3 linked regions of the Caenorhabditis elegans genome follow. The protein of the gene in region 1 purifies or fractionates together with the protein of each later gene. This does not show direct contact. Each region holds a gene or a part of one and is shown in the gene's direction. Other genes may lie near its edges.

Evidence for each region.
Region 2: the proteins of che-11 (region 1) and ift-43 purify together in Caenorhabditis elegans (affinity purification with mass spectrometry, with the first as the bait; one study listed by BioGRID). This does not show direct contact.
Region 3: the proteins of che-11 (region 1) and ifta-1 purify together in Caenorhabditis elegans (affinity purification with mass spectrometry, with the first as the bait; one study listed by BioGRID). This does not show direct contact.

The regions. Positions count from the first base shown.
Region 1 is NC_003283.11:12,144,653-12,152,356, reverse strand, and holds the start of che-11 (WD_REPEATS_REGION domain-containing protein), read left to right. Parts: upstream 1-1,649; 5' UTR 1,650-1,667; coding exon 1,668-1,772; intron 1,773-1,923; coding exon 1,924-2,056; intron 2,057-2,141; coding exon 2,142-2,227; intron 2,228-2,274; coding exon 2,275-2,396; intron 2,397-2,445; coding exon 2,446-2,638; intron 2,639-3,241; coding exon 3,242-3,563; intron 3,564-3,608; coding exon 3,609-3,724; intron 3,725-4,214; coding exon 4,215-4,466; intron 4,467-4,512; coding exon 4,513-4,778; intron 4,779-4,827; coding exon 4,828-4,945; intron 4,946-4,990; coding exon 4,991-5,272; intron 5,273-5,380; coding exon 5,381-5,594; intron 5,595-5,640; coding exon 5,641-5,749; intron 5,750-5,796; coding exon 5,797-6,177; intron 6,178-6,224; coding exon 6,225-6,320; intron 6,321-6,368; coding exon 6,369-7,039; intron 7,040-7,086; coding exon 7,087-7,208; intron 7,209-7,250; coding exon 7,251-7,463; intron 7,464-7,507; coding exon 7,508-7,680; intron 7,681-7,704.
Region 2 is NC_003280.10:5,659,381-5,662,853, reverse strand, and holds ift-43 (Intraflagellar transport protein 43 homolog), read left to right. Parts: upstream 1-2,067; coding exon 2,068-2,083; intron 2,084-2,174; coding exon 2,175-2,260; intron 2,261-2,310; coding exon 2,311-2,467; intron 2,468-2,522; coding exon 2,523-2,678; intron 2,679-2,729; coding exon 2,730-2,917; 3' UTR 2,918-2,973; downstream 2,974-3,473. Other genes in the region: mdt-26 (TFIIS N-terminal domain-containing protein), read right to left, coding at 1-272, 320-458, 567-686, 1,073-1,144, 1,541-1,660; Alpha-(1,3)-fucosyltransferase fut-3, read left to right, coding at 3,087-3,356, 3,401-3,473. UniProt on the Caenorhabditis elegans protein: As a component of IFT complex A (IFT-A), a complex required for retrograde ciliary transport and entry into cilia of G protein-coupled receptors (GPCRs), it is involved in ciliogenesis.
Region 3 is NC_003284.9:5,546,651-5,554,531, reverse strand, and holds the start of ifta-1 (Anaphase-promoting complex subunit 4-like WD40 domain-containing protein), read left to right. Parts: upstream 1-1,779; 5' UTR 1,780-1,835; coding exon 1,836-1,913; intron 1,914-1,965; coding exon 1,966-2,155; intron 2,156-2,203; coding exon 2,204-2,327; intron 2,328-2,654; coding exon 2,655-2,802; intron 2,803-2,846; coding exon 2,847-2,927; intron 2,928-2,982; coding exon 2,983-3,040; intron 3,041-3,086; coding exon 3,087-3,377; intron 3,378-3,802; coding exon 3,803-3,948; intron 3,949-3,997; coding exon 3,998-4,123; intron 4,124-4,166; coding exon 4,167-4,250; intron 4,251-4,296; coding exon 4,297-4,401; intron 4,402-4,526; coding exon 4,527-4,716; intron 4,717-4,763; coding exon 4,764-4,819; intron 4,820-4,870; coding exon 4,871-4,927; intron 4,928-5,403; coding exon 5,404-5,542; intron 5,543-5,625; coding exon 5,626-5,726; intron 5,727-5,779; coding exon 5,780-6,270; intron 6,271-6,634; coding exon 6,635-6,772; intron 6,773-6,901; coding exon 6,902-7,034; intron 7,035-7,082; and 8 more.

The DNA.
Region 1 (7,704 bases):
ATGACCAATGATGAAAGTAGTAACAATTATGAATCACGCTCGGGTTGTAGGTCAAACTATATTCTGAACAGTACAGAGGATTTATAAGTATGTAATTGATCACGACGTAGGCAGAAGAGATGTTTCTAACCATTGGTTCAATATAAAATTGGGCATTTATATTGGAAGTAATCAAATAATGTTGTGAACAGATATGACCATTGAAAAATTGCTTAAATTACAGCATAAGAACCTTCCAAAGTGTTTTTATTTCTGATCAAAAAATGGAAATAAAAGTTAACTTGATCTATAGGTTTGCGGTCAAAGTGCCATTTATCTTCATAATATACAGGATGGCCCATAATTATGGGGACCGTAGTTTTGTACGCAAATCTCACGTCTCACAAACTAAAAAATGAGGGTTTGTTACTTTATTGATAGACAAAATATTTTTCTATCAGCTAACATAAAAAACTTTTCGATTGGTCGAACAACAGAAGTTTGGCAGCGTCGGGAGTGTAACATGTTTTCACCCTTCTGGCGCGCAACTTTTTTTTGCATAGTTTAGGTTCTCTAAATGTTGAAACTGATTTTTTCTGTAGTGTTTTGTGCATTTTAGAACCACAAAATATATTCTCACAGTATACAAAAAAAGAAAAACAAGTTTCATTAGAATCCAGCTTCTAATGGACAATTGTTTGGAACTAGCTAAATCCCGTTTTCGCAAAAAATTGAGCGATTTTTTCACACATTCTTGCATATTCAGTAATATCTCAGGTCATTGGAATGATAGGGACATAATTTTTTACACAAAAGTAGAAGTTGGACTGTAGATCTGAAATATATTATTTTCAAAAAATTCCGCCGTCTCCTGACTTTCAAACCGAGTCGAATGTGCGCGTTTTGAGCTTTTCAACCTATCTCCCTTCAATCAATGGCCACACTAACGGAAAATTATTAAAATGGACGAATTGTTTTGAAATACGTATTCTACAGTCAATGTCATTTTAAAAAGTAATAGTAAACTTTTTAAACTGGCAGGAGTCGCTGAAGACATCATTAGAAAGAAAAACACCCACACTAGCGCGCCAGCGACAATTTAACTTCGGAACGTCGGAAGGTGTGTAACGTGTCACATAATGATATTTTCAAAGTTTAATAACATATTTTGTTCCTAAGAATATGGGGAATAAAACCTATGCTGTTAAAATTTTTTTGAAGGATTGCATCAAATTTTATAGACGCAAGTATCGGTCCCCATAATTATGGGCCACCCTGTACTTATGTACATAGTAGGGTAAATGATTTCCAATACAACTTTGATTTATGTTAAATGTTTTAATGTTCAACATTTGTGGGGGAACTTTATTCATGATAAGAACCCAGGAAAATTATGTACTTATTTTGTCTTTTTTTTTGCCTTTGCCCGTCAGTTCAAACCCAAGTTCTTTCTTGAAACATCCCCTTTTCCGAATTTATCTAGATGTTTCCCCGAAATTTTAATAATTCACTTATCTGGTTTTAAATCGACATTTTTCTTCAATACTGCCCCTTTCTTTCCAATTCCATTCGAATATCTATTCCGCCTTCCCCCGCGAGCAAAATCTCCATGGCAACCAAAACACGCATCTCCCCTTTGTTGTTTACTTTTTGTCCTTACTTCCCGATTTCTTCAATTATTAACATAAATGAAACCATTTTTAATTGAATGGGCACCTCACTGTGGTTGGATTTGTGTTGTAACTCAAGATGAGACAACTGGAGAAGCAAATGTCGCATTTTCGGATCATTCAGTAAGAAAAATGAACAATCGAACGAGATTATAATCTGTTTTATTCATGGATCAAAGCTAAATCCTTGAGTTATTTTCAATAGATCTTTAAAACAAATATGTACTTGAGCGTATCTTCCCGTTTATTAGATAATAATTGAAACAATTTTAAGGGATCTGTGCAAGAAAAGGGGCCATCAAAACCAGGATCAGTTTCTTGTGTAAGATGGCATCCAAAGAAACAATTCGTGGTAGTAGGATGGAAAGATGGAGGAGTTTGTTTTATTCCAAAAGGAGGGAATGTTTGTGAGTGATTTTCAAAAAACTAATACTACAAAAAGTTATATATATATATATAAATAATGTTTTAGTAATGGAAAACTCATTTCAGCTCATACTGTGGTCGAAACATATCCATTTCCAAATCAAGGAGTAGATTGGAGCCACGACGGAACTGTTTTGATGACGTTGCATAATGTGAGTATCAATTTAAAAAACTTACAAATTATTTTATTTAATTTCAGCCATCATCAGTCCATTTATACTCCTACATGGTAATTGGAGAAGAAATTTCCACTTCAAATATAATGCAGATTGAGCTGAACGATCAAATTACGTTATGGTGTAAACGATTGAGCTATGACAAGTAATATAATTCATAAATCTGAGTGAAATTAAAAATGGTAAAATTTAAGATTCAAACCAAGTAAAATTTCTGTAACGGATGATGACAGTGGAGTTGATGAGTCACCGTTCGGTTCAAAAGAGTCACTGGCAGAAAGAAGAGATGAAAAGAGTACTGTACCAAAGGGTACTGAGTTCTTATTTGCAGGCAAATCAGGTACCATTTATGGAGTGGATAATGACCGACAACGGACTATTCATAAGGTGAGCTAGGATAAAGGTTACTAGTCTATGCACAAATGTAGCCAACTTTGTATTGAAGAGTTCTGGTTCCTAATAAATATTTACAAGCAGATGAAATAATACAGTAGTTTATAATTTTTCAAAATTTTCCATGTTTAGTAAAAAAATTTATAAATTCTACTTCTATGGAAGTTGCACGCACTGTATGCCAATTAATTACTATTAAGCAAAATGCAAGAAGGCAAAGGAAAAATTTAATTGTAAGAAAACTCCAATAAAAAAGCGACGAGTAGGAAATACTGTTCTCTTTAAAGACTCACGCCTCTTTTCACAACAGTCTTTTACATTACAGTGGTCCAGATTCACCTATGCTGTAGAGAAGTTACTTTGACCGCTCCAAAAATAATTTTAGAGATAAAAGGCATCAAGAATTTGTTTAAGAAGATTTTGATTTTCTCGTAAATATAAAAATTCTATTCAAAAATACAAACAGAACTACAGAAAATTTTTTAAAAATTTATCCAAATATTATTATTTTTGACATATCTGACTAGTGGTTACTCATAAATAAAAACTCAAATTATGTTTAAAAATCTAAAATTAAAAAATTGGAAAAATTTTCAGCTGGACTCGGAAATCTTATTCATGGGATACTGTGAGACAATATCGATAATTATTGTATTTACAAGAGATTGCTTCATTTTTCATTTGGCCAAGGGAACATCTGAAATGCGATGCGCAGAACGAGTAAAAGTGAAACTCGGAGGAAAATCTGAAAAATATTCTTTGGAATTGGATGATGGAATACTGGTGATGTGTTATGGTGAAAAAGAAATTCGAGTATGGGACTTGATAAAAGAGGAGAATGGAACAATTGCATTAGATGTAAACAAGGGATTTCAACCAGATGAGACAATAAATGTAGTCACAGTTAATGGGAAAAGAGGTAAGAAAACCGGAAATAGAGGTAATCAAAGAAAATATTGATCAGGTGTGATAACTGCGGCAACGAGTCTCAATAATATTGCTGAATGGAAACGAAAACGAACTGATACTAATGTCGAGAGTGCTTGGAATTTGAGTCCCAGCACGCATGTCGATAGCCAGGTGAGTGAAGATGACACGCTAATCCCCTTTTAGAATGTTAGATGAGAATATCCTCCAAATGTTATTCCTATTCGAGTTTCTTATAAATTTTGAGTTTATAGAACTGAACTAAAAACAAAATAGCTTTTTCCAAAGTAGGAAATTTTTTCAGTTTTCCACAAAAACATAGTATTTTAATAGTGTATATTTTTTCATCTATTTCGGTTGAGAACGTTTATTTTGCTAGTTGTCATTCAAACTTCATTTGTCAACATAGTTATAGCCAATTCACTCAACCTCACAAAATTAATTTGTTTTTTGATGTTTGATATGGTAGTCTATGTGTTTTAGTGTGAATTTTTTAACTCCATACTTTTGATTTTTTGCTGAGTGCTGCCAATGCCTCTAACCGGAACTACAACACTATAATTTTTTAACTTACATTAAGGTATACTTAAAATGCAATTATTATGATAACCTAAACGTCTAATTTTAAGAGAGCTTATTTAAGGTTTCATTAATTCGTTGGAGTCCGATACTGAGCACAGCTGCTTTAATAACTGAAGAAGATCTTGTCTTAATTGGAGAAAACTCATTGACAGTAAAAATGCGTGGAAAAATGGCGGCAATTCAGACCAGTTCAAATAGTTTCACTCTTTTACATGCGACAAGTGGAGTCTCTCAAGATTTGAAGTTGTCTATTCCTTCTGCAAAAGGAATTTGTCTCGGAGAGAAGCAACTTGTTGTTTGGAATGAAGATACGGTATTCAACAGATATTCTGAATCACCGGTTTAATAAAAATTTGCAGGTAGTCACTTATGACGTACAAACATCTCTTGCAACTATCCAATGCACATCATTTTCTTGTAACACAACTTCTGTTGCAATTGTGAATCAAAACTTGTATTGCATCGAAAAAGACAAAATATTTGCGAGGACTCTTCAAGGAACTCTTCGACAAGAAATTTCCTTACCGGAAATTGAAGGTGATCCGGAAATACTTGAAGTGAATCGATGTTGGATGGCAGTTGCTACTACAAATGGATTCATTCGAATTTATAACTTAAGCGCAAAGTACAAAAATTTACTAGAAGCTATTGATTTATTGATATTAAACTTTCAGAGATGCCCAACAAGAACACAATTCGAAATACATTATCGAAAATGTGAAGAATTTTTATAAATTTCATACAATCCGAATCAATCATACTGGAAATAAAGTCGCTGTATCTTATTTAGAGGTAGTTGTTTTGTTGCAAATAATGCAGGAGCTTAAAATTTTTCAGGACGTGTCGACAGTTGCTGAACGCCTACTTGTCTACGACGCCGAACTCGATGCAGTTTCTTATTTCTCGTTTGATCGTGGAATGACAGATACGCAAGAATATGAAACCCAAGCAGAACTTGCTCATACAAGCAGTGGAAGACCTGTTACAGCAGCTGCACGGAAAATGGCAAGAGAACAATCAAGATTTCAAATGATGAACCATCGTCCTGGAGCTTTTGAATGGGATGAGAATGATGCAAGATATCTTGTAGTTGAATGCATACATGTTGAACCTGAATCAGTAAGTTACTTCAATCTGGACAAATGTAGAATTTTCAAAACAATATAACACATTTTTAACCAGGTCAATTGTTTAAAAAAACTTAGAAAACTTCCATCTTGTTTTCAGACCGATCAAAGAGTTTTAACAGCATTTGTAACTTCTGAACATGGAATACAACTTCAAGGAATGCAGCAAAAAAATCTGCATTGTGGAAAACTTGTTTCAGTCTCTGTTCCAAATTTTTATTTTGTTCGGAAATCTGGATGGGATGAGGAAGACAATCGAGATGAGAGAACTATTGGAAAAACTCTCGTGGCTAAATGTCTTCGAGAGTTTTTAGGTATGAAAGGACCCAGTTGCAAGTTATAAAAATACATTTATTTCAGGAAACGAAAATTGTGACGAATCAACTAGAAAAGCCATGATGGATTTCTCATTTTACCTGACGATTGGTAGCATGGACGCTGCATTTAAAGCAATTCAATTCATAAAAAGGTCCGTTGTTAACTCAAGAAACTCTATTTGTGATTATGATTTTTAAGCGATAGTGTATGGGATCATATGGCATCAATGAGTATTAAAACACGTCGACTAGATGTTGCAATGGTTTGTCTGGGACATATGAAAAATGTGAGAGGAGCCCGGGCGGTGCGGAGATCTCAACAAAATGGGGAGAATGATTCAATGAAGTGTGCAGCTTTGGCAATTGAATTGAGTATGCTGGAGGAAGCATTGATTATCTATGCACAAAATGAAAGATATGATTTGATGAACAAGCTTTATCAGTCTCAAAATATGTGGTCATCAGCTTTTGAAATTGCTGAAACAAAGGATCGTATTCATTTGAGAAATACTCATTACAACTATGCAAAGTATTTGGAAGCAAGAAGAGATCAAGCAAGTATTGAAGCTGCTATTGAGAAGTTGGTTTATTTGTAGTTTTGAATGATAACAAAAAATATATTTTCAGTTACGAAAAAGCAGGAGTTCATGCTTTTGAAGTTTTCCGAATGCTCAAAGACTATCCAAAACAAATAGAACAATATGTTCGTAGAAAACGTGAAGAGCGAGTTTATTCAAAAATTCTAAAAAATATTAATTCACAAAAATTCAGATCATTGTATAGTTGGTGGGGAGCCTACTTGGAAAGTGTTGGAGAATTGGAGGGTGCAATAAGCTTCTACTCTTCTGCAAAAGATTATTACTGCATGGTTCGTGTAAAGTGTATTCAAGGCAAAACCGATGAGGCTGCTCGGCTTGCCGAAGAATCAAAAGATAAAGCAGCGTGTTATCTAATTGGAAGAATGTATGAAAATGATGGTGACGTAGTGAAAGCTGTGAAATTCTTCACAAAGGCACGAGCGCTGTCATCTGCAATACGTCTCGCAAAAGAGCATGACATGAAAGATAGGCTTGCTAATTTATGCTTGATGGCGGGTGGATCTGAACTTGTAAGCGCTGCAAGATACTACGAAGATCTTCCTGGATATGCACACAAAGCTGTAATGCTGTATCATAAAGCTGGAATGATTGGAAGAGCTCTTGATTTGGCATTTCGTACTGAACAGTTCAGCGCTCTGGATTTAATTACCAAGGATTTGGATGCAGGAACAGATCCAAAAATATTGAGAAGAGCTGCTGAATTCTTTGAAAATAATCAAAACTACGAGAAGGCAGTTAACTTTTTGTGCCTAGCAAAAGAGTTTTCTGGAGCCGTACAATTATGCAAAAATAGGAATGTGAGAGTCAGTGATAAATTTGCAGAACTTATGACTCCAACAAAAGGTTCGTGTTTTCTTTTGAGATTCATGTAAAATTTACACATTTTGAAGATGACATGCCAAATGTACAAGAAAGAAAACAAGTTCTTGAAACAGTGGCGGAGCTTTGTCTTCAACAAGGTGCCTACTCAGCAGCAGCAAAGAAGTTTACACAAGCAGGAGACAAACTATCTGTATGTTGGTATAATTTATATAATGCTCAGTTTCCATTTCAGGCAATGAGAGCTCTTCTCAAATCCGGAGACATTCAAAAAATTCGATTTTTTGCAAACACTGCTCGAAACAAGGAGATCTACATTCTGGCAGCCAATTTCTTACAAACGACTGATTGGCAAGATAATCAGCAGACAATGAAAGATATCGAAACATTTTATACAAAATCACAATCTTTTGAACATCTTGGAAATTTCTACAAATCAGTTGCAATTGTATGAGGTTCTTAGTGTTTGACATGTTATTTGTTTATTTTTAGATTGAAGCCGAACATTTGAGAACTCTTGATAAATCGATGGGAGCTTTGGAAATGGCGGCAGTTTGTGTTCTGGAAGCAGAACAAAAAAATATGTCCACGACTGGACTTGATGCATTGAAAGAGGATTTGAAAAAATATGTAGTTCAACTGAGGAAACTGCAGAGTGTTTTAGAGTGAGTAAAAAATTCAAGAATTGG
Region 2 (3,473 bases), on another chromosome or scaffold:
TACTGAAAGTGCAGCAGCAGCCGTTTTGGTTCTCTTGATTGAGGGAGCAGCAGCTTCATCGACGGCTTTCCGTTTTCCATTCTCCTTTGGTGTGATTGGTTTTGTAGAAAGTGATGCTGTTGCATGTTTCAGAAGATCTCCACCAACTGACGCTGACTTGTGCATTCCGTTCACAACGACGGAGGCAGCAACAGGAGTCGACTCGCCAGGCGAAACTTGACTACGTGGAGCATATGAACCGTTCGCTGGCGAGACAAGGCGCTGTTGGGAACCTGTAAAGTCGATTTAAAACAATCAACTTGTTTAAATCGAATTATACCTGGAAGGCCAGTAGATGTGACCCGCCTTCCAGCTGGTGTATTAGGTGTAATTCCTCGCTGCATGAGCCTGGCGACACTCGGAGAAAGAACATTCGGTGTTGTATTTCGAGAAGAAGCTCCACTTTGCGGCCTTTTAACCTGCAATTGTTTTTCGTAAAAATCGAGTTGCATTATAGTATCATCATTATTTTTAACATAAAAATTACATTCATCACAAGAATAGGAATCATAGAATTCACTAATTACCTCATCGCACACGATTTCGGACCACGATTTGATAACTTCTCTACTTATCCTCAAAAGAGCTGGCCACTTTTTGAAGTACTGCCTCCGAAGCTGATTGACGACGAATCCAATTCGAGTTTCCTGAATTAACAAATTCTTGTGTTTCTAGTATCTTTCCCCTTGTGAATGATTTTAGTTCGTTGCTAATACGCATTCTACACACTGCGCGAGATATCCAAGCATGCCAGTCTATTCAAATTCATCGATTGACGTGCGTGTCTCGTTGCCTACCCTCAACATATACATGAAGAGTTCAGAGAAAAGGGGGTAAGCAACGAGACACTGTGCATTAGACACGCGAGAGGGGTTCGAGACGCAGAGGAGGTATCTCCATCGGGTGTCTAGTCAGTCGGGGCAAAGCGGCCCGAGGAGGACGCGCCTGCCTTCTCGGCTCTCTCGGGCGGCTTCACGCCCAACAGTCGGGTAAAAAAAAGCGCGTGTTGGTGGCTTTAATAGACAAACCTTACCTCTAAAATTTCTCGACTCGTCACCAACGGCCGAACTTCGTTGAGCAGTGATTCGCACAACGTCTGATCATCCTGAAGCGAAATACATTGAAATCAAAACGTAAAAAAGAATGGTATGGGAAAAACTGTTTCAGATCTTCAGGATTATTTCCCAAAAAACTGATAATTCTTTATTTGTTTGTTTTTGTATTGAATTGAAAATAAAAATGGAAAATGCATTATTATAAAAATAAATTTTATTTATATATATAAATAATAAAATAACAAAACAGATCAGCAGGAAACCAAGAATTAAAGTAATACATGAAATTATCTACTCGCAACCTGAAAACACAGATGCTGGGAAAGCCCAGCTTCCATTTATTAGCAAAATAACCCTCATTAAAATGATTTTTTGTTTTATTGTGAAATTATCGATTTTTCAAAAGCTTTTCTATTGACGGGTGTGATTCATGGGACGAGGCTTACATTTTCAGCGGCTATTTGAAGCCGTTTTTTGATTTCTTCAACATTTTGAGCAGACGCAGCCATTGAAACCGCCAAGTGATTTGGTGGCTGCAAGGAGGAGAGCGCAGCGCAAGCGACCATCCATTCACAGCCCGAGCTGGGCGACTGAACGCGCGCGCGCGACTCTCCCTCTTTTATACCCCTCGTGGAGGCTGTTGCAGTGCGCTGATTGGCTGGCCACGCCTCTTACGGAGAGGCAATTGGCTTCTGGAGACATAAACCCCGCCCATCTACACGCTCCGCTTGCAGATGCGTTGCGGCTCGAAAATTTTTATTATATATTTATTGAAACAAACATTTTAAAGCTATAAGCTTCCAAAAATAAGGACTGTTAACGAACTTGAAAAGTGTTTTAATTGTATTGCTTGTAGTTTTTCAAAATAATTCGTTCCCCGAAAGAGCAGTATTGATTAAATTCTTTTCAGACGACGGGCTTCTTGTTTTGTTATTTTAATCTCAACTATCCTGCTTCTAAATGAACAGAAATAATGATAATACTCGAAAGTTTTTGCTGTTGTCTTGTGATTCACTTTGAGCACTCCGCACTTTGTTCTCGTGACATATTTCATAATTTTTCATAAGCATCTGTTTTTAGATGAAGCAAACGAGCCAGGATTCAGAATACAACAGCGTGCTGAGTCGGAAACTGGGAAGAAGGGACGATTCGGTGGGATTCTAAAGGTATTTGAGTTCTGAAGCATCTTCGCATTTTAAAATAGTTTTTAATTTAGGAAAATCCAATTAAAGGATTCAGCAGTGAGACTCTCACACGCCCTCTGACAGGTCTTTTTCGAAAAACTGGAAAATCGCAGAGGAAAACTGATGATGATGATTCACAGGAGACGATCGCTGCACCGCCAACCAATTTCCCGAATATGGCAAGGATTTGTAAGTTTTCATTTTCTTTTGGTTTTGTGCATAAATTATTACTATTAATTTTCAGCCGCTACTATAGAAAGTGTGCAGATTAATGATGAGTATGCGGGTTATCGAGACCGCAATCCGGAAACTGGAAGCAAGTTGACATTAAACGAAGGTGCGGGCGTTTTTGGAAATGCCATGCATCCACTCACACGATATTTCAAAGTCGGAGATGTTGGTGAGATTCGAATATCAAATTACTCTCAAATACACTTCAATTTTCATTCAGACGTTTCCATTCTCGGGCGATCGTTTCCAACTGAAAAGACGGTGGACGAAGAGGGTCCATGGACTGCTCAAAGCCTCTTCAATTCTCTCGAGTCTCGCATTAAAAAGGAAAGGATAGATGCGAAAGATCAACCGTCCGATTCTCGTTCCCGAAATGCTCGTGAAACTTTGATTTCCAGCAAATATTAATCTGTAACTGAAAATCTAAAGTATACTTGTGATATCAATAAAAATAAATCATCATCTTTCTACAATACTATTCCTTGAAATGTAAAGGTGAATATATCCTTCCAGAAATGCCTGACAATCTAGATTGCAATATTTATGCACACCATTCCTAACTATTTCAGATTTTCAGATGAGGGTTCGGCCAGCAAGTGTCTATCGATACCTGCTTCTCGGTGTTTGCGCTCTTCTCGGTATCTACACAGTATACTCGATTATCGGATATGATGATGGATCACACGTTCCAATTCACAGACCACAACGTCATCTTTACCTAACAGTATCTCAGGATAGAATCGGTAGCCGTTTTGGGAAACTTGCCCCGAAACGAATTCTATACTGGACTACAATATTCGGTGCAACTGTTCCTTCAACTGCTCTTTCAGACTGTCCAGGATTAACGGTATTATTGTAAATAAATACAGTTATAAATTATTTATTTTGAAGGATCGTTGTGTAATTGATACAAATCGCCATCAATTGGATTCGGCTGATGCTGTCGTATTTCATGCTGCTGATA
Region 3 (7,881 bases), on another chromosome or scaffold:
AATCGAAAAATACACACAGAAAAGATTAATCTGAAAAAAGAAAAAATATTCACATTTTGTTGAGATTGTTTGTGGAAGAATGATCGACCAATAATCTTAGCCAGAAAGCTCTAAAAAGATGAGACTATGCCTTTCATTTACGCGGGAAATTAAATATAATTCAGTCAATTTTTCTAGATTTGTAAAACTGTAAAAATCTTTTTTCTTATTCGATAAACTTTAATCAAACATTTTACAGTCCAAACTTTTGAAAAACTCAAACAAAAATTTGTTTTATTAAAATAAAACTCATTGGCATTTCTCGACTCACAAAAACTAAAAATCCGTAGAGCCAAATAATTTTGAAATTTGTATTCCTGAATGAAAAAAGCTGATAATCTGTATAATTTATTTTTACCAGATGTAGTTTTTTTTTCTAAATTTGAACACACAGTGTAAACAACCTTGACAAACTTCCGTGGAATTAACTTCATACTATAAAAAACTACTAATATCAAAATTGGAAAAAAGTTGTTTGAGTCAAAAAGAGGAAACTAGAGGGACAAAATGAAAAAGGGACCAACACCATTTTTGTTTCAACCGAGATTTGTTCACCACTATTTTCTTTGTTTAAGTTCTTCGTCCAAATGAAATCGTTCACTCCTCCACTGGGAAAATTCATTATTTGTAAGCGGGTTTTTAAGCAGTACGCTATTTTAAAGTTTGCTGAAAAATGAAATTAGATAGAAAAACAACTATTCAAACATCTGGAAAATCCAAAAATGTAACTCCTTATTTTTTGAACAATATAATTTTTGTAGTTGGAATAAGAAATTATTGTTGTGCAATATTTTATAGTGGTTGTATGAATTTTTCTTCCAAACAATTAAGATTGTAACGCTGTAAGCACTCAATTAATCAGTTCCATAAATATGCCGGGACTCTTTGAATAGTATTGAAAATAACACTTCCGGCTCAAACATTTAATTTAAAAAGCAAGAATAGGTTTTTACTTTACGATTGAGTCTGTGTGGATTTGATCTATAAGTATTTGAAATATTGGAACATGACCGAATATCATGATAAAACACTCTAGAAAATTTTTTAACTTTCAGCTGCGGTAAATTGCCACATTTTCCAAAATTTAGGAATTTTTAAGAGAGCCTACAGTGTTCAAACACAAGCAATTGAAATGCGAAAAAAACTAGAAAAAAAAAGGAAAAACAATTTTTGTCGATTTTCAGAGTTGTAGTAGGTGAAAATTGAATGTGTTCCACTGACTAACTCACTGCGACCACTTTTTGAAAAAAATTTCAATCGATTTTCGAAACTTTCTACTATGGTATGTGGTTTTTTTTAACAAGTGAGTGGCTTTAAAGAATTTATTTACTGACCATACTTTATTGTTTGCGTTTTCAAAACTGTGAGCTTCTACCTTTTTGAAAATGTTGAGTTTTAGAGAAATACAAATTATAACCATTTCTATCGGAAACTGTTTTGATTTTTTTGTTTCATGAACCTATTTCAGTGCTATTCGACGGTTTTAGAAATTAATTGCCAAATTTTTATTGCTTCAAATTTTATATGTGGTTTTTTTTGTTGTGAATTCGAGTATTTTTGTGCAACATTTTTTCTCTAGGCCAAACTAAATATTTTATGCCAATTAAATTTTCCTCCGCTTAAAACACAGTGTGCACTGCACCTGTCCCACATCTCTTTTGCCGTGAGTGTCGTTAACTGCGCGTTGCCATGGCAATAACGCTTGCCAAAGAGGAGGCTGTCAGCAATTGCGTTCCAATTCTTTGTCTTCCGTCGCCGTTTTAAAATATTGTTGTGATTACTTTTTATCGAACAATATGCCGCCGATGTTGAATGTTATGGCAAATTACAATGAGAAAACAATTGGAAAATTGACAATGTCCGTGTTCCGAAAGGTAAATTAATTCTTCAATTTTAAAAAACTTATGATTTCACTGAAAACTTTAGTTCAATTTGGGACTTCCCGAACACGGACAGCTCCATTTTGCCGAGTGGAACTACAACAGTAATTATATTGCATGCGGTGGTGCACTAGGCAAGCTGAAAGTCGTCAAGATAGGAACGGATGCCACTGATTTGAATAAATCCCCAAATGCTGCAACTCTTGTGGTGAACCAAGCTTTGGAGGGGCATAATGGTAACTGAAACTTTGTAATTTAATTTAACAACAATTTAATATTTGCAGCAACTGTGATGAATGCTACGTGGAATGAAAATAATCAAAAACTGACAACGAGCGACACGTCTGGATTAATTATTGTATGGGGAATGTTCAACGAACAATGGTGTGAGGAAATGATTAATAATAGGTAACATATGATTTTTCAACAAACATGTGGGACCTGGTCTCGACGCGACAAGTTTTTGTTTTTCACATTTTGTTAATTGCAAAAAGAGTATACGTCTTTAAAAGGCAATTAACTTCAAACTTTTTAAACGATTTCCCATAGTTTTTGGTATATTTTTTAAGCAGTTTGATAAAATATAACAATGCAACAACATAAAATTCAACAAATCGCAAAAGAAACTATAAACATTCAATAAAAACTCCGCAGCGACAAGATTTTGAAATTACAGTACTGTGTAATGTCTGGGTATTAATAGTATATTCCATTAACATAAATTTATTAATTCAGAAACAAAAGTGTGGTTGTTTCAATCTGCTGGAATTTAGAAGGAACTAAAATTGCCATAGCATATGCTGATGGAAACGTGATTGTCGGGACGTTGGAAGGAAATCGAATATGGAATAAAGAGTTGGAAATACAATTGGCTGCGTGCGAGGTAAGCGGCATAAAAGTAATATTAATTGAACCATACAAGTTAAGTGGGCGCCTGATGGAGACATGCTGATTTTTGGAACTGCTGACGGAAAAGTTTCGGTTTTTGATGACAGTGGATCACATTTTGTAAGTTTATTTAACAATATTTTAAGACTATTCAGCAAATTAATTAATTTTGTAGTTGGATATTCCCATGCACTGTCTAGAAGCGGAGGATCTGGAGCAAGCATTAGCAAAGAGTTAGTTATAGCAGTCACATAATTCTTTACATATATTATTTTTTAGAAGAGCATCAAAAGGAGGAAATCGTCTGCTTGAAATACTGGAGTCCAACGTTGAAATCAAAAACTATTTTGGATGAAATGGAGAGAGATTTTGAAAGAAAATTAGAGAAGGATCGTGAGGTAACTGGAACGGCGATCTTCACTAATTTCCCAACAAAACCACCACCAAAAGAGTTGCCGGAACATGAAAAGAACACGGAGCCCTATCAACCAGTTCCTCCAGATCGTCCCCGATTTGTGGTTGCCTATGCGAGAGGAATGATGCAACTGATGAGATCTTTAAATGATCCAGGTAAGTGTCGTTGAGTTTTAGACAGGTCAACAATTTTAAATTTTGAAATTTGACGAAAGGGTCAAAAGTTAAATTTAAGTGCACTATTGAAAAATAGCTATATATTAGTATACTAATTCAATTAAAAACACTGGACAACACTAGAAATCAGAGGTGACTTAAGTTATGAAATTGTACAAAAATTACCTATTGCATCATGGCATTCCAAGTTTTATTCTTGACAAGTAATGTCAGAAAGAAGGAAAATACTTGCCTAATTTGAAAATATCATAGGTTTCAATTTGGCTGACACGTTTGAAATTTTTGAGACTTAACTGCTTCTTCATTTAATTTTCCTGGAAAGTTTTACTAAAAAAAAATCAAAACATGTAATTTCAATAATTATAAACATTGAAACTCCCTTTCATACATTTTTGCATTTTCAGAACCAGTCGTTGTTTCTATTCCGAATTTCAAAATCACTGGAGCCAAATGGTCGCCCAATGGAGCTTTTTTAGCAGTCTGTGGAAATGATTCAGACAAGGACGAACCAACTTTTTCAAAAATTCATTTTCTATCTGCTTACGGACATGTAAGAATTTTTATAGTTTTGCCGTGTGCACACAAAATTGGTTTTTTAGATCGTTGGATATTTTCAAACAAACGACTCTTGTATAACAGGAATTTGTTGGGAGTCAACAGGTCTTCGAATGGCGATTGCAGCTGCCGGAACTCTTCTCATTGGACAAATTCGCCCAGAGTTTAAGGTATGACATTCATAATATATTTTCATAAGTCCTTTTTTCACAGTGGGGATCAATTGAAGAAACAATAGTCTACGTTTACCAAAAAGAGGAGCTCTACCAATACGGCATAATGTTTTATGACTACAAGGTAATCAAAAACTTGATTTGCATACAAAATTTTAAGAATTTCACAGACTGATGAAAAAACTGTCAAAACTGTGACTCATTTCGAAAATATGGCCTTTTATCGGGAACATTGTGTTTTGATAAATCGACAGGATGACGGAGTCATACCACATGTAAGTACCAAGCAAGTGACGGGATGCTGATAGCTGATTTAGAAAGTTTTCCATATGGGGAATTAGGTTATACACCATCTACACTTGCTACACAATTCCGAGGCAAAATGTAAATTATGTTTCAGTACTTCTGTCAACTCTGTAATAGCATCGGAACATCACTAGACTACAACGTGACAACGGTTCGTCCAAAGTTTGCATGTGTTAATGGAATTTGTGCGGTGATTGCTTCTGAGGATAGATATTTTATCTGGCATTTTGTACTTCCAAAGTTTAACTCCGTGCAAGCAGGAATTCATGTCCCTGGAAAATCTGGTATTTGCGAAAAACGGTAACATATAATATTATCAGTATTCTTATAGGTGATTACGTTTTGGAAGAACAACAAAGAACAATTGAGTATGGCACTAAACGTTTAGTGAGTTCATCCAATTTTTAACAAATTGAACACAAAAACTGATTTTTTCAGCTTGGGAGCAAGGATGAAATTTGTGCTCTTTGCATTGGTGATACTTTCTTTATGATGGTAAGTTTGTTAAATAAAAATTGAAAATAGTGTAGTGCCAGTAGTGATTTTGCACATTTTGTCCGACGAAACTTAAAAATTGTCTAAATTTTGACTTATATTAATAATTAATTTTGACTTATTCACTTTTACTGAAAGTTCGCTCTTAAATTTCAAATTTTGAATTCAAAATTTCCCAACACTTTATGACAAGATTTTAAAAAAAGTTCAAGTTTTGAAAAATAACTTTTACCTATAATCTGAAATTTCGACAAACTTTTCTGTGTCAAGGCGGCTAAATTGATTTTTAATCTGAAAAGTAGAAATTCACTGAAAATGTAAAACTGGTTTCCCTACTTACTTAGAAAGAAACCTGAAAAATTTTGTAAACCACAAAATGAAAATGATTGAAAAATATTAAAAATCGGAACTCCTTTTTTTTAAATATTTCGGGCGGTAATTTTTTCTGCCATCTTTTTCACTAAGAAAACTTTCAGGCGTTGTTAAGCGGTGGAATCTATAGAGTATCACTAAATGACGGAGTTATCACTAACAGCTATCCAGTTTCCCCATCTATCAATTCCATTAAGTTGAATTGTACTTTTACCCGCCTGGCAGTTATCAAATTGGTTGAACGTAAGTCATTTGTGCTTATTTATTGTTTAAATCATTTATTGGAACAGGGCGTGAAAGTCGAATAAGTCGTAGATAACTTTCAGAAGTTCCATTTCAATTTTTGTTGTATGAGTTCGACGGTGATGAATTGAAGCTGATTTACACAAGTGATAAGAGAGACGTCTGGGATTATGAATGGGATCAGGTTTGTTACATTATTTTATTTTTGAACAATTTATTACCTGAAAATATTTCAAGAACAATAGCAACATGCTTGCCCTCAAGGATAAGCAGAAAATATTGATTTGTGACGGAAATTCAATACTGGAGCAGTCATCTGTGAATGGAAGCATTCTGCTGTTTCAAAATTTGGTTGTTACCGCCGTCAACATTGAGAAAATTTTACTGACTCCCGAAAACCCAACGAAAACATGCATAGTGGAGGTTATGATAAAAGCAAAACAAGACGTCATGAACCTTGTCAATGCGATGAAACTCGAAGAAGCCATAGATTACGCGGAGCGAAGTCCTCACTCGGAGCTTTGGAGCATGATTGCGAACTATGCAGTTTTTAAACATGCGTTCGATTGCGCAGAACACGCGTTTGTAAAACTTGGAGATTACGCAGGGGTTCAGTTGGTCAAAAAATTAAGGAATATCCAGTCAAATGATTTGAGGAATGCCGAAATATACGCATACCGTGATACACTTGAAGAAGCAAAAACTGCATTTTTGCAAGCTGATAGACGGCAAGTCAATCGATGCATATAAAGCGTGAATGTACAAAATCCAAAATCTAAAAAACTTTGTTGTTCTTTGTCAAGAAAACCTCAAAATTAAACGGTCCCTACTTACTAACTCAGCGTCGCACAATGTTCACTTTGCAGTAACGATCCACGCCCTCAGTAAGGTAAATATAGTGCCGTGCGGAACCCAGTAGATGTCGGACCACGAAATCAGTTACTCGTCTAATGAAGTACTGAAAGGTTTTGAGTGTGGATCCTTTCAGGACTCCAAATGTATATTGATATTTAGTTTTCCAAATTTAAAATAGTTGAATACTGAATGATTACTAAAAATTGAAACTTTAAATTTATAAAGTTGAAATTTCAGAGACCTAGCTGTTGAAATGTACAAAAAGGTTGGTGATTACGCATCTGTATATGATTTGATTCGAAATGATGACGATGATGAAGGGAAATGTGATGCATTCAGAAACATGGCTGAAACACACTACGAAATGATGGAATGGTAATATCTTTCTAATTTTTTTAAAAATTATAAATATGGCTTCCACGCAAACGCCTGCTATCCGGCGTGCGGCGCGCAACCCAAAAAGTGTCGGACGCTGAGAAGCATACATTTATCCTATATTTTCAGGGAAGAAGCCGCCAAGGCTTACTCCTATTGTGGAGACACCGCAAATCAGATTGATTGTTTGATAAGAGGAAATCTTTTTGGAGAGTTGGAAGTTCTTGCTAGAACTCTCTCAGATGACAGTGAATTTATGGAGGTACGATTTTTTTTTAGAAAGATGTTGCTTTACATGTTCTTGTTTTAGGTAATGGGCGATGCATTCACATCTCGCGGAATGTGTGACCAAGCTGTTGAATGCTATTTAAGACGGAGCCTGCCACAGAAAGCATTGCACGCGTGTAAAGAGCTGAATCAGTGGCAGAAAGCACAATTCATCGCTGATGCAAATCATATGGAAAATGTGGAAGGACTATTGGGAAAATTCGCGGTTGAAATGCGAGGAGGTTTGTTTATTTTTTAAATTTTTATGTTAAATTCTAATTTTTGTCATTATTCAGAAAGCGACGAGAAATCATTATCTGCTCTTGCACTTTATATGCGAGCAGGAAGACATCTTGACGCCGCCAAAATAGCGTTTGATGCAAGTTTCCGTCTCTTGTTTTTTATGTGAACCCCACAATTTCCTTTCAGATTGCAAAAGACAGAAAGTCAAAGTATGTCCCATATGAAGAGTTGAAGCAGTGCTACGTGCTCGGTGCAGTTCTCGTAGAAAATCACAGGCAAACTATCAAGGAGTTGAGGAAAATTGATGTAGCTGATTTTGAGAATTGAAATACATAAATAATTGATTTATTTCAGAAGCACAATTTTCTGGAGGATGCGTTAGATGATGAATCCGGGTTGAGTGCTGAGCAGTCAAGAATTTTGGAGAATACCTGGAGAGGAGCAGAAGCTTTTCATTTTATGATAATGGCACAACAACACTTTTTCGAGAGTAAGAATGTTTTAGATTTAAAGATAATACTGTGACACGGTTTGAAAGTAGGGAAATGTTTTTTGAAATCGAATCATAAGTAATAAGTAAATCTTTCTAATTAAATTTG